3 linked regions of the Oryctolagus cuniculus genome follow. The protein of the gene in region 3 interacts with the protein of the main gene of each other region in a biochemical or structural test. Links are inferred from orthologs where the notes say so. Each region holds a gene or a part of one and is shown on either strand. Other genes may lie near its edges. The genes, in order: DCUN1D5, KLHL20 and CUL3.

What was found.
Region 1: the proteins of CUL3 (region 3) and DCUN1D5 form a complex in vitro, tested with the Homo sapiens proteins (2 studies listed by BioGRID, with this or other methods). The link is inferred for Oryctolagus cuniculus from reciprocal best matches to the Homo sapiens genes CUL3 and DCUN1D5.
Region 2: the proteins of CUL3 (region 3) and KLHL20 form a complex in vitro, tested with the Homo sapiens proteins (2 studies listed by BioGRID and IntAct). The link is inferred for Oryctolagus cuniculus from reciprocal best matches to the Homo sapiens genes CUL3 and KLHL20.

Annotation. Positions count from the first base shown.
Region 1 is NC_091432.1:94,775,464-94,780,557, forward strand, and holds the start of DCUN1D5 (DCN1-like protein 5), read right to left. Parts: upstream 3,066-5,094; 5' UTR 2,733-3,065; coding exon 2,647-2,732; intron 1,788-2,646; exon of another isoform or gene 1,702-1,787; intron 578-1,701; coding exon 486-577; intron 1-485. UniProt on the Homo sapiens protein: Contributes to the neddylation of all cullins by transferring NEDD8 from N-terminally acetylated NEDD8-conjugating E2s enzyme to different cullin C-terminal domain-RBX complexes which is necessary for the activation of cullin-RING E3 ubiquitin ligases (CRLs).
Region 2 is NC_091438.1:2,169,984-2,174,977, reverse strand, and holds part of KLHL20 (kelch-like protein 20), read right to left. Parts: intron 1,855-4,994; coding exon 1,281-1,854; intron 1,273-1,280; exon of another isoform or gene 1-1,272. UniProt on the Homo sapiens protein: Substrate-specific adapter of a BCR (BTB-CUL3-RBX1) E3 ubiquitin-protein ligase complex involved in interferon response and anterograde Golgi to endosome transport.
Region 3 is NC_091434.1:14,738,035-14,743,028, reverse strand, and holds part of CUL3 (cullin-3), read right to left. Parts: intron 3,280-4,994; coding exon 3,093-3,279; intron 1-3,092. UniProt on the Homo sapiens protein: Core component of multiple cullin-RING-based BCR (BTB-CUL3-RBX1) E3 ubiquitin-protein ligase complexes which mediate the ubiquitination and subsequent proteasomal degradation of target proteins.

The sequences.
Region 1 (5,094 bases), on a different chromosome or scaffold from region 3:
ATCATAAGGTATTAATATCAAGCTATTTGGTTTCTAATATTGTATCTTGAGGATAAATAATCTTTAAAGGGTCTGCCAATGCAATGATATACAATATATTTGAGATTTAAATGTTATACTGTATCTCCCCAAAGTTTCAAAAAATGTTTAATTCAGAAAAAACTTTAAAAAATATTACATAGAAAAACGTTTCATGTACTTTGTTTTCCAGAATACTGCTTTAGTCAACAGATATAAATTAATAAGTGAATCTGTCTCTGTTGACACATTCATCCTCCCACTAAATAAATACAGAATATATATTTAAAGAAATATCAGTCTGAACCGACACCAAATTCCTAGCCTACCCACAATCCTCAGCCTTGCTCTGATCCCAGCACAGCACTAAGACATAGCAGGCCTGTAATAAACAATTTGTTAAATGAATGAACCAAAAAAAATTTTTAAAGCATATGACTGGTATCTTCTTACATTAATTTCATTACCTGCATACTCATAAAACCAAGCCAGGCACTTCTTGCTTGAAAAATGTTCCTCTCCACTTATTAGTCTAGCAGGGGGTTGGGATCTGCAATAGCTTAGAAAACACACAAATGCCTAAGATTTTTATTAAGTCTCAATTCTTAGTGAAAAACTAAGTTCAATAAGAACTACCGCAATTCAAAGTAAACAAAATATTTTTAGACGTTGACATTATAGGGAAAAAAAACTGAAGTACTTCCAATTCAGTAGTCTAAATGTAAAAATTTATGGATAACAACCCCAAATGCTGCTTTGCTCACTATAAAATTCTAAAATATCAACTGAAATTATCTCCCAAAATTGCAAAAGACTACACAAAGAAGTTCAACCTAAGTCTCGAGGCAGGATTGTTAGTTGGGAAAGTGTAAAATCTATATTCTGTTTCTGCTACTGATTCATATGGAAATCATATTTGTATATAACAGGTATACATTTGAAAACAAAATCTTACAAAGTATATTTAGATACTTGACCAATATTTCAAAATAAAAAGATACATTAAGAATTGTTCATTTATCATCTACTAAGCTAAAATAAACATTTAAAGATAAAAATGACATAGGACCTACAGGTATACTAAATTCCATAGACTGAGAAAAAATACAAAACAAAACAAAAACTCTAAAAGTTAATGTAAGTCTCAATAATTCAGCCAAAGCTACTTAATCTCAGACAAAATCATTTTCAACACTTTTTGATGAAATCATTAAAAGTTGATTAATTCCAAAGTGGCCTGTAGGATTTCATGCACTTTAGAGTACCTTGAAATTCAAATAATTACACTATCACAATGATACAGAAATGAAATTGAGTAATATGTCAAAGAAGTATGCATAATAAAAAAAAATCGAGAGACAAAGTATATCCTGAGTTCTAGTAACATTGCCAGCTCAGCTAATCTAATGTTTGGTTTAAATAATTTTGACACTTTATACACTCAAGATGGTCACAAATTAAGAGTAACTAAAAAACTAATTTGTTTCACAAAAATATGAGCTCGTGGAGCCTTCATATAAAATTCATATAAAAATTCTCTAGACCAAGAGGTGTAAGAAAATTGTGTCACATTAAACGGCCTCAGAAATACTCCTTGGTCTCCTTTGCCAAAACACAGTAATAATGAAGGAAAAAGTCAATCAATGGCGAAAAGGAAGGTGAAGACTGGATTAAGTTACCTACCTCACACTTTAAGCAGCAGATCTCTCTGTAAGAGAAGCTCTGTTATTTCCTCCTTGTAATGCTGGCTACTGTCTTCTTTGAATGGTGGCATCTGACATTGTTACATCAGGTGTCAACCATTGATACAAAGACTCCCAAAGGAAATAAAAACCAACAACGTCCAGTCCACCTCTCATTTCTAAATTGCAATGCTTCTTTTTGCAGCATGCGGTGTTGCTGTGAGGCCCCAAGGATATGCTATCATGCAAAGAGCTGTAACTCCAGTTCACCGAGCATGGTGTACAACAGCTCCCAAATTACTAATACTGATACCAAGAACTAACACTGTGCTGAATGTTAGAGAACAAAAAGCATTCTGGGTGTTTCCAAGCCTGCACACGAGGACTTGGAATAGACGGAGGCATTACGTTTCCAGAAAATGAGGTCCCTACCATATGAAAGGCCTGCAGCTCAGATGGTCTCCGTTAGGGCTTCGAATACTACATCTGGAGGCCAATTTTAGCCTAAGAGTTCCTTCCTACCGTCCCCAAAGCAGTTGTCAAGCCAAGAATTCCTCACGCTCTTTTCTTCCAAGCTACAAAGAAATTCTGAAAGCGACCCTTTACTTCCACGTCTATTAAAAAGCTGAGGGTGGGATGAAGGGAGTGCGGGGCAGGGGAACGAGCGGAGCTTACAGATGCATCTGTTTCCCCCACCTCCAGGGCAGGCACCCCCTAATGCTGGAGACTGCCCCGGGCTCTCCGTGAACGCCGGGGCACACACACGAGCGAGCACGAGGTCGGTTCCGGCGCGGACTCCCGGTGTTCTGCACCTACCGCCTGGCTGGAAAAGGGGGCCTCACCCCTCTCCAGCCCGAGACCGGGAGGCCGGGCCCGACTCCCTTTCTTCCAGCTGCCCAGCAAAGGAGGAAGAAGGAAAGCTTGAAGGAAAGGGTGGAAGTGGTACCTGGAGATTTTACACTTTTTGAGGCCTCCGTCTTCTGCTATTGCCGCTGCCACCCCAGAGGATTTTCTCTTCTTCTTCACCGGCATCTTCCGCCCTCCCTGGCAGGGTGGGCAGGGGAGCCGGGGAAGGGGGTCAATGTCTGCTGGAGGCCCCTCAGCGCTGGCACTTCGTTCCCAAATACAGCAGCAAGCGGAGGGGCAGAGTCGTCAGGCTGGCCCGGCTCGGCCCCGCACGGCGGCCGTGCGTTCCCAGGTCTCCTGCTCTTTTTTCTTCGCTGGGACAGGGGTGGCTCCTCGCCGGTGGCCACTGCGGGTCGGTCTCGCCGAGAGGAAATAACGCGTACAGCGCGGCACCTCCGCCAGTCACAGGGAGCAAGCGGCTCAGCCTGACCCGGATGCGAATCCCTTATATTCGGAAGTGACGCGTGCGCGCGGGTTGCCGGAAGGGGTGTGGCTCTAGTTGACCCAGGTTAGCCGCAGGGGCGGTGGGTTCCTGCTGTCTAACCGAGGAAAAGGTAGAAGTCCTGCTTTGTGCCGGAATTACTGCAAACAAAACTTAGTATCCTGGCCTTTCTCTTCCACCCCCACCTTGGTGTTAGTAGTCACCACCGAGAATGTTTTATGAAACGAATATTCTGCAACTGGCGTTAAAAATATTCTGAAGAACTAGACCAGGTTTCACTCCTGAGCTCTTCCAAACGGTAATCTTATCGTTAGTGTTCCCGCATTTAAACGCATTGTCAGTGTCTAGCATATTTTCTTCAGGGACCTGTGATTGGCCTCTAGCTCCTTCCCCCCCCGTCCCCCACTTCTCAACCTCTGCTAGCCACTGTGTCCCGCAGTGAAGTTTAACTGCACAATTTTTACTTATACAGAACTCACCTCTCGGAAGAGAGATAGTAGATGATTGCTGACTGAGTAGCAAGGAATTTACCGGACAGCAAACAGCAAAATCTAAACTGTCAGGAAGTCTTCGAGACGTGTGACCCGGATTCTGCAGCAAATTAATAGGAAGAGAGGATAAGGATTTAAAGGATATAGCGATGATTTTTAATATGATTTTTATTGAATATTGATTCAAGCCAACAATTCATATAGCATTTTGAGACAACTGGACATTGTAATACTAATTTGATATGTGACAAAATTTTTTACCATGTAAAACTTATCTGAAGGAACAGCATATCTGTAACACATGGGGCTTGGGATAGGGTAGAAATAGGGAAGACGGCAAAGATGTACAAAGGAACTTTCTGGATGATAGATACACTGTGCATTAGTTGGGGTGCTGGTGTATGTACTTGTCAAAAGTCATTGACTCGTACACTTATCTGAATTTATCTCACAAAAGGGCCATATTGATAGCCTCTGTACCTATGAGCAGTATAGAAATACTAGCTATGTGGTTTTTTTTTTTTTAAAGATTTATTTATTTGAAAGGCAGAATAACAGAGAGAGGAAGATAGATAACTTTCATCTACTGGTTCACTCCTCAAATGGCCACAAAAGCCAGGTCTAGACCAGGCTAAAGCTGGGAGGCAAGAACTCCAAGCCCAAGCACCTGAGCCATCTTCCACTGCCCTGCCACCATTAGCTGGATTGGAAAATAGGTAGGAGTTAAACTAGCCCTCTGACATGGGATGACATCACCACAAGAGTTAGTGTAACCCACTGTGTTACAATGCCAGCCCATACTTAACATGGTTTTAATTTTCTCTGCTGGCCACCAACATGTGGATTTTGATGTTTCATCAAAAGCTACCTATAATAGAGAAACAAACCATGTGAAATAACTGTGCTTCTTCAATGTACAACAGAACATTTTTAAAATAAAAATAATGAGAAGGAAAGGAAGGGATTAAGGATTTACCTTAAAGAAAAACTCATGTGTTCTGGTTTCAGGTGCAAAGATGACACTAATAACTTTACGAAAGGCACATAAATGTATCCTACTATTATACAAAAGAATGTAAAAAAAAGTACAAAACTAAATGATATCCATCTATTATGACAGTGTACATATACTTATGATGGATAGGGAAGTAAGCTAAAGGACTGAAACATGGCTCCATCATACATTTGGCATCTTGTTCATACACATATCCCTTGGCTTTTCAGAGCTTTAGAACAAAACCATGAAAAAAAATTGTTTTATTTATTCAAAACACAGAGTTACACAGAGAGAGAGGGAACAGAGAGAGAGAGAGAGAGGTCTTCCACCTGCTAGTTCACTCCCTAAGTGGCCACAATGGTCAGGGCTGGGCTAAGCCGAAACCAGGAGCCAGGAACTTCTTCCAGGTCTCTCATGTGGGTGCAGGTGCCAACGCACTTGAGCTGTCCTCTGCTGCTTTCCCAGACACATTCGCAGGGAGCTGGATTAGAAGTGGAGCAGCCAGGGTGAAAATCAGTGCCTATATGAGATGCTGGTGCTGCAGGCAGTCAGGTTAAC
Region 2 (4,994 bases), on a different chromosome or scaffold from region 3:
ACTGACAAACTTCAAATTCATACTACAATGAACCTATTTCCCTGCTAACATGCCAACAGACTGTATAAAGTTATGAATAGTTAATAGTATTTTGGTGCAGTTTTGTGTTTTAGTTATTTTCAATAAATGTGACCAGATTTTCGGATATTTAAGGCAATATGAATTTCCCTTTCTTTTCTACTCTTTTTTTTTTTTTTTTTTTTTTGACAGGCAGAGTGGACAGTGAGAGAGAGAGAGACAGAGAGAAAGGTCTTCCTTTTCCGTTGGTTCACCCCCCAGTGGCCGCTCCGGCTGGTGTGCTGCGGCTGGCACACCATGCTGATCCAAAGCCAGGAGCCAAGTGCTTCCTCCTGGTCTCCCATGTGGGTGCAGGGCCCAAGGACTTGGGTCATCCTCCACTGTCTTTCTGGGCCACAGCAGAGAGCTGGACTGGAAGAGGAGCAACCAGGACAGAATCTGGCGCCCTGACTAGGACTAGAACCCAGTGTGCCGGGGCCGCAGGTGGAGGATTAGCCTATTGAGCCGCGGCGTTGACCCTCATTTTTCTTTTAAGTTTGGATTATAATTTGTTCTGCTGAATAATTCATGTAACCAGGAAGGAAATGCCTTATGCAAATGACTGATACCAGGTGCTCTATCAGGTACAGATCCTCTTAGGAATTAGTGAAATGTATTTTGGGTTGTAAATAAGCCTTTTATGAATATAGCTGTGGGGCCGGCGCCGTGGCTCAATAGGCTAATCCTCCACCTTGCGGCGCCGGCACACCGGGTTCTAGTCCCAGTCAGGGCGCCGGATTCTGTCCCGGTTGCCCCTCTTCCAGGCCAGCTCTCTGCTATGGCCAGGGAGTGCAGTGGAGGATGGCCCAGGTGCTTGGGCCCTGCACCCCATGGGAGACCAGGAAAAGCACCTGGAGCCTGGCTCCTGCCATCGGATCAGCGCGGTGCACCGGCTGCAGCGGCGGCCATTGGAGGGTGAACCAACGGCAAAAAGGAAGACCTTTCTCTCTCTGTCTCTCTCTCACTGTCCACTCTGCCTGTAAAAAAAAAAAAAAAAAAGAATATAGCTGTGGAGAATCAATCCCTAAGCCATAAGTTTTGCTGGTAAAACATAAAATTGGCTTCCAAAATAAAAATCAGGCTTAGATTTTATAAATATTTCTATGACATTGTGAGTTAGGATCAACAGCAAATATTCGGGCAGGTGTTAACAGACTATGAACTCGTATCCCTCTCTTGACAAATAGGTTACAAATGTGTTCAAACCACCAAATACAACTCACCTCTTGGAAGTTATGTTGAGTGAACTTGTCTGCTATCCTTAGCAGCTCACGACATGAATGTGTATCAGCAAAAGCCCGAATGCCCAGGCAGTTAGAAGGATCTAACTGTCTCTTCAGGAATTCGCAGCAGGCCTCCTGTATTTCTGCCAGCTGGAGGAGGCAGGCAGCTGGCAGAAGGGTCTGCACATTGCCCTCTTCGACAGTGATCTGGGAAGTATACGCAAAGTCAATCAGGAGTTCCATGGCCCTCTCATCGATGTCTCGGATCACGACTTCGGTCTGACGGCTCTCTGCCAGTTCTCCTGTGAACATAGCTCGGAAGTAGGGACTGCAGGCTGACAAGATGACTCGGTGGGCATATATTTTCTTAGCTCCCACAACTAGAACCACATCGCAGAGCTCCCGGTGCTTTCTCAGAAGGTTAATAACTTCCAAGGTCTGTCGAGGGTGCTTGTCTGAGATGTAGGGCATGCGGGCAGGTTGGGGAACCCCTTCTGGCAGTTTGTTGGGGTCTCCAAGAGTGCAGCGGCTTGTTACATCCATTCCAGTCTCTCCTGGTCGAATGTTGGTACACCTACAGGAGGGAAGGAGAGGGAGGGAAGATGGTAATATTAGGAGAACTTCTGCCTTTAAGCTTTGTAAATCAAGAGATAGAAACATGTGCAATTAACAAGAGAGAGAAATAAGCCCCCAAGGAACTCTCTTCCTAAGACCCATTAATTTCTTTAAAATTTCCTGAAGGATGAATGGTAATAATTCCAAGTCAGAGCTCTCATAAAAGAAATGATAATTCCTTTTCATCCTGAAGTAGTTACACTGCGTTGGGTCATTTCCCACACAATGTTAATACAGAGCATTTGTAAATGTTTGTCTCTGCATGAAACAGATATATGAAGCTTAATTTCTAAATCAAGTTTAACCAGAATATCAGTATTTGTTATTTTTTTATAATAGCTGATATTTATTTCTTATTTTCACTGGGCAATACATTGAATTTTTCTAAGGTTCATCATAAAATCTGCTAACTACAGCACATGTTGCATGAAAAGATCAGAAGGGAAAAAGGCCAGGGTTGAAAAAATTATTTTCATGCATTAATATTATATTTATTTGATCTAAGATATATTTTTTCTTTTTTTTTAAAGATTTATTTTGTTTATTTGAAAGGCAGAGTTACAGAGTGAGGTAGAGATAAAGAGAGAGGTCTTCCATCTGCTGATTCACTCCCCACATAGCTGCAATGGCCAGAGCTGCGCCTATCTAAAGCCAGGAACCAGGAGCTTCTTCCAGGTCTCCCACGTGGGTGCAGGGGCCCAAGGACTTGAACCATCTTCCACTGCTTTCCAGGCCATAGCAGAGGGCTGGATCGGAAGAGGAGCAGCTGGGTCTCGAACCAGTGCCCATATGGAATGCCAGCACTTCAGGTCAGGGCCTTAACCCACTGTGCCACAGCACCGGCCCCAAGATATATATTTTTCATAGTTTAGTATTTAGTAAACCTTGGAAATCATCTAAAACTGATGTCCAAGAAACTTAACAGCTACCAAGTACAAGAGGTATGATCAGTTTGCCCTACCCTCACAAGGAAATTTTAGTCACATTTCTTGAAAGAGGTATTAGAATTTTCAGAGCCAAGAGAGGTTAGTGTGACAGTCTTATGTCGCAAAACAACAATTGCTCAAGATCTGAAAGTTTTTGGTTAACTTTCAAAGGAAGAGATTTTACTCTAAATGGTATATAATTGGTATATACTTGATCTAAAGAGTCTTATCAGGACGGGTATTTAGTCTAGTGGTTGAGATGGCTCTTCTCACATCAGCACACCTGGGTTGATTCCCAGCTCTGGCTCTTGACTCCAGCTTTCTGCCAGGGCAGACCCTGGGAGCCAGCATGAAGGCTCAAGTAACTGAGTTCCTGCTACCTGTGTGGGAGGCCTGAACTGAGCTTGTGCCTCCCAGCTTTGGCCAGCTCTGGCTGCTGCAGGAATCCAGAGAGTGAACCAGTAGATGGAAGCTCTCTGTCTCTCAAATACATAAAATAAAATAAAATAAAATAATCACTACCTTAACCAAATGTGATAGGAAATATATATAATATACATATCAAGATTATATGATTACAGTAGTTTTAAAGAAGTAAATTAGGAAATAGAAAATAAAAGGTAAAAACACACACACATGCATACACACTATCACAGCATAGATTATATAACAGGGTGTCACTGTGAGGCTATAAGCAATTGCTGATCCAAACATAATTCAGAGGATTCATCAGTCTCTGAATAAGAGGTAAACTTTGAGGCAAACTTTATGATATCGAAGAAAACTGAGTATTAATTATATGGGTAAAAATATTGTCAGCTAATAAGAAAAGCTTTGTACCCTTAAGGCAGTCTTTACATTCTAAATAATTATTAAATAAATCAAGTGTCATATAAATAAGGAGCACAGTAAATAACTATAGGGTTAATTCTAATAGTTGGTCCTAAGAAAGAAAATAATCAAATCAAATATTTTAGAATTCATTCAGAGAGAAACGAATAGGTATGAAGAGTTCCTTCTCATATATAAACTGGATTGAGTCAAACATCAGGTGTCTTAAAGTGTTTTTTTAAATTTTTTATTTTTTTGACAGGCAGAGTGGACAGTGAGAGAGAGAGAGAGAGACAAAGGTCTTCCTTTTCCATTGGTTCACCCCCCAGTGGCCGCTCTGGCCAGCGCGCTGTGGCCGGTGCACCGTGCCGATCTGAAGCCAGGAGCCAGGTGCTTCTCCTGGTCTCCCATGGGGTGCAGGGCCCAAGCACCTGGGCCATCCTCCACTGCACTCCCTGGCCACAGCAGAGAGCTGGACTGGAAGAGGAGCAACCGGGACAGAATCCGGCGCCCCAACCGGAACTAGAACCAGGGGTGCTGGTGCCGCAGGCAGAGTATTAGCCTAGTGAGCTGCGGCGCCGGCTTTAAAGTGTTTTTATTATATCTTTTTTAAAAAAATTATTTTATTAAAATTTTTTTGATTATATAAAAAGATTTCTTCCTTCATCTCTCCCAACCAAGCATAACAGCTCTGACAGAGGGGTACTATGACTAATCTAATTTTGATTTTTTAGCATCTTTCTAGCTGTAGTTCATCAAAGCAGGCTCTGAAATCAAAGGGAGCTGGGTGGATATCCTAGTACTGACCCTTCCTAGTATCTTTAGTTCTAAAACAGGAACCTGTCCCATAGAGTAAAGATTAAAGGAGATAATGCGCGTAAAAGCTTTCAGTTCAGGGTTTGCTATATATCAACCATTTTGAATTGTAACTATTGTAATAATGACTGCTTATACTCCTTTTAGATAAGGTGGTATGCTTCTCCAAGTTCAAAATCCAATCTAAGCTAATATGCTTCAATTAATATTTAAATCAATTTTGAATTAGTGATAATGCAGCCATGTCCAGATTAAGGTTTATCTTTACTTAGAAATCCTTTCTTCAGTTTATGAAAATTAAAACAATAAGATGACACATGAAGCTTTAGCTTGTTTAGTAGGACTCTTCAGAACCTCTAGAAAAAGATTTTGTTAGATTAATTTGAGTCTGGAGATAAAAGTTGTACTTCAAAAAGTTCATGGGATGGGATCGGCACTGTGGCATAGCAGGTAAAGCCACTACCTGCAGTGTTGTCATCCTATATGGGCGCTGGTTCGAGTCCCAACTGCTCCACTTCCCATCCAG
Region 3 (4,994 bases):
TAATCCTCCACCTGCGGCACCAGCACCCCGCGTTCTAGTCCCAGTCGGGGCACCAGATTCTGTCTCGGTTGCTCCTTTTCCTGTCCAGCTCTCTGCTGTGGCCCAGGAGTGCAGTGGAGGATGGCCCAAGTGTTTGGGCCCTGCACCCGCATGGGAAACCAGGAGGGAGAACCTGGCTCCTGGCTTCAGATCAGTGGGGTGCGCTGGCTGCAGCGGCCATTGGGAGGTGAACCAATGGAAAAGGAAGACCTTTCTGTCTCTCTCACTGTCTAACTCCGCCTGTAAAAAAAACAAACAAACAAAAAACAAAAAAAACCAAAACCTAATGTCTTAGCAAAACAGAATGGATGAAAATAACCTATGCATAATAATACTTTTCCTTAAAAAAAAAAAAAAAAAAAGAGGTCATGTGAAAAGTTAAAGTAGAGATACTAGTTCAAATGGAAGTAAAGAGACATAAAAATGAAATAATGTAGAAACTTTGATAGTATCCTAGATTCTAAAAGGTATGAAAGGAATCTTTGAGACAACCGAGGACACAGAAATAAGGTACAGAGATAATATGTAATGCAGTATTACAGTGATGTAGGGAAATATTTCATTCTAAGAAGTATCTGCTGAAGTTTAGAGGGAAAGTGTTGTTTGTGAATCAATTTCAAATGCTGTCACAAAGACATACATACACAGGGGGAGGAAGAGAAAGCATATATGGAAAAATTTCAATGGCTGGTACATAAGAGTACTCCAAAAAGTTTGTGGGAAATAGAATTCAAAGATGTTTATCTTGGTACAAGGAAAAACTGAAATTCACACATATAAGTGGCCTTCAAAAAGTTCAGAGAAAATGTGTATTATGAAAAAACCTATGCATTGATTTTAAAAATTTTTGTATGAAAATATGTATTTTTTAAAATAAGTATTTTATTTAATGTGCTTGGGAAAGCAGGGAAGACAGCCAAGTGCTTGGACCCCTACCATTCACATGTGAGACCCAGGTGGAGGTCCAGGCTTGGCCCAGCCCTTGCTGTCAAGGCGATTTGGGGAGTGAACAAGTGGACAGAATCTCTGTCTCTTCCTCTCTCTCTGTAACTGACTTTCAAATAAAATCTTAAGAAAAAAATGTTGGGGAAATTTTTTGGCTTTGGTCACCTAAATAGGTGTACTCCTTAAATATGCATAAAAAAAGATAAACGAGAAGACTGGTCATAATACATTAAAATATGATGGCTTTGAAAAATGTGAGCACAGGGCCTCACTCACAGAGTCCAACACAACATTCTGTACTTAACGAGAACAGAGGGGTTTGCTTGTTTGAGGGCCTACAAATATAGCTATATGTATGCTGAGGCAAGAGGAGTTTAAGCAGGCAAGTGGTGAGATGGAGAGTACTGTCACCACTGGAAACTGCTGTAGACTAAAACGAATCTAATTCTTTTCAAATATTGAGTATTGTTAATAATTTTGTTAACTTCTTTACAAAACTGCTACTGCTGGCTACAGCAAAAGCAGCGTAAAAGGGAAAGGTCAGAGTCTGTGTTTTTGATGTTACTGAGCCTTTGGCAATTTAAGAAAACCAACGCACCAACATGGTCACAATATTTACTGCCAAAGAGAAAATTTTCACTTAAAAAAATATGACTCAGAGCCAAGATCATCTAAAACCATCCTCAAATGAAAAATATACTTCTTTGCAGAATTTTATCATTGAAAAGAACTTTCAAGAGCTCATCTAGTCAAATCCTTCATCATATAAAACCAATTTCTATTTTAATCACACCTAACATGCTATACACAAACATGTGCTGCATACAACTTAACACCAAAAACTAAAAATTCAGAAATTATTTTTCCACAATAACTGCTCATTACTGGACATGATGCAATCAGGGATTACAAAGATACTTATCCAGGGCAAAGCAGGGTGAACACAGGTAATTCAGATATATATATACCCATATATTTTTTGTGAAATCTAGGATACAAATGAGCACTGAAATTCCCAATCCAAAACCTGCATCTGCCCAAATCTGTAAGCTTAAAGGCCTTGCACTAGAGGAGAAAAGAAATTATATTCCATGATACTTTAAAGATTGTTTAATATTTCTGTGTCACAAAGACTTGGGCCAATCTGGGCTGCTGAGATTACAATGATACAGATCCCAACTATGAGACAAGCTGATCAGGCTTTAATAGACACTCCACACTGGTTCACAAAGCATATATACAAAAAAATCAAAAAGATCAAGGAGGAAAACAAATGAAATATGTACAAAAAGTTCTTGAATCAATGTATTCTGGTAATCATATATTTTTAACACTAATCTTTCACTAAATATCTATTTTTAAATCAGAAAACTATAGGTATTTTAAAAACTGATCTTACCTAGCTTACTCTAAAATACTATTTTACTACACAGATAAATAAGCTGTAATGGATGAAATAGTACTTGGAAGCTTCTCTAAATAGTAATTTTGAAACCAGACAGTAAACTACATGATTTTTAAATATCCCCAAAAGCAGGGTACTTTCTTCCCCTTAAATAAATAGATAATACACACTTCGCGTTATGTTAAATATATAATCGATACAATTTTTCACTATGAACTTAGAAGCCTATACTACAAGCTGTTCAAAACTGTAATTTCTATGTCTCAGAATTCAAGATAATATATAATTTAAGATTTTGAATCCTAAATGTTTATCAAAACATAAACAGTTGTATTTAAAAGACCAAATTTTACATAGGTAAATTTTGAAAAATGGTAAGTGGGCTTTAAAAATAGACTTCCAGTGTCTATTAGTTAACAAGTTAAAAATAATTTAAGTATTAGCATGTCTGCAAAATTTCATTTGCTGAAAAACAAGGAAAGAAGTACCTTGTTCATATTATGAATTACTTTCCAAAATGCTTATTGTACTTGGATTCAATTACATTCTGATACAAGCATTTATCAATAAAAATTGCTTTATTTCTTATGCGTAAGAATCACACGGCACTAGAAAAGCGTTATTTTTTAATAGAAACAGATGAAAATGTTTTCTAGAGAAAAAAATATAATCTTTTTAAGAGGAAAAATATAATTCCAGATACCTGTTTGAATCTTGACTCTGTGTAGTTTGGATGTGAACTGATCGTTAACTGTAAATATGTGACCATTTTCTATTTCCTTTGACTTGGGCTCTTTGGTAAGAACCCGCTGTGTTGGTTTACCACAGGCGAGGGACTGTAGGGCTCTAACAAGCTCTCTTTCAGGGATATCTGTCTCTTGCTGAATTTCCTGAAATTTCATCAGATTGACATAATTAGACTTATTGGAAAATTAAGAGCACATTAGTTAATTAGCAAGTAAATTGACCAAGCAGTGGTTAGAGCAAGGTAATTCTATTAAAGAAATAATTTACAACAAGAATTCCCTGAATATTATGACTTATCATTAAAATCTCATTGTTTAAACAAACTGAAAAAGGGTGATTTAAATTACAAAATATTAAAACATGTTCTTTTTTGTTCCAAGAGATATAATGCCTCATCCAAATATGTCATCCAGTAGAGATTATCAAGAACCTACTTTAATGTTTAGGTAAAAATAAAGTGTTAACCAACATGTAACTACTGATTTTAGAAACATTTTATAATTTTCCTTCCAGGATGAGGTATACTCCTGTTCACTTAATAACATCTTTCCTAGAAAGAGAGTAAAGTGAGCCTAATCGCAGTTCTTCTATTATACAATTAAAATTCACATCACAGGAATAGGCTTGAGCCTAGCTCCTAGCACTGGAGCAGCTTCAGTCTTATGCTTCCTGCCAGTGCAGGTCCCAAGAGGCAATGGTGACTGCTCATGTAGCTGAATTTTAATATCCACATGAGAGACCCTGGACTGTGTTCCTGGCTCCAAGCTTTGGCCCTGGCATTTGGGGAGTAAACCAGCGAAATGGAGTACAGTCCATCAGTCTTCCATAAATAGTTACAATCTAAGTTGACTGTATTTACTGCCTGTGTGTAATCAAATGAAAACAAAAATCTTAAAATCTGGAAATCAGAAAGATTTCTATTTTCAAGTTCAAGATCCAATTTCAGTGATTATATACATTCCTTTCCTTCAAATGATCCTAAATGTGCTGCCAATTTTAATACCAGAAAATTAAAATAACACTATTATTAGAATGGATATATTATGCATGTTAAAAGTGACTTACATATTACAGTTATTGTTTAACTACATTCAAAAAACCAAAAATACTTTCTTAGGGGCTATTTCTCTGGTAATTACAGCTAATTCTCAGAAGTAACTACTGCAATTCACTATATATCTTTCCATACCTTTTCCTATTCACCTATATAAACATGAATACAAATACACACATTTACATTTATGTATATGAACACACCCTCCTATTTACACCTAATATGAGTGTTGTACATAAATGAGATAATAACATAGGGATTTTTCTACTAATTTCTTCAGATTTTCCACATTAGCATAGATATTAAAGCTACATGGAATTCCACAGCATTGCTATCATGATACAGATACAGACTGAGAGTGGATTCAACTTTGTCCTGCTATACCCATTTCTGTCTTTGAACACAACTGCCAGATTTTTTTAAAGAAAACTTCTATAGAAATATATTGGCTTTCTCCAAGTCATAAACATTTTGTATTTGATGGATACCAACAAACTGCCTTTTAAATGCTTAAAAATGTAACCCGTACAACAATGTATGATATCCATTCCCTCACTCCTGTCTTTAGCACCATATTTTTCTTTTGCCTATTTACTGAGCTAAAAATGCTGTGTCATTTTAATTTGTAACTTCTCAGGATCACTAGGAGAGAAAAACCTATCTTTTTATATTTGCAAGGCATCTTTAACTCCTCTTCTGCTGTTTGACTACTTAATATGCCTTGAATGTTTTTCTATCCAATCATTGGTTTAATATTGATTTATTGGTGCTCTTTATAAGTTATGGTTTTCCAATTCTGACACA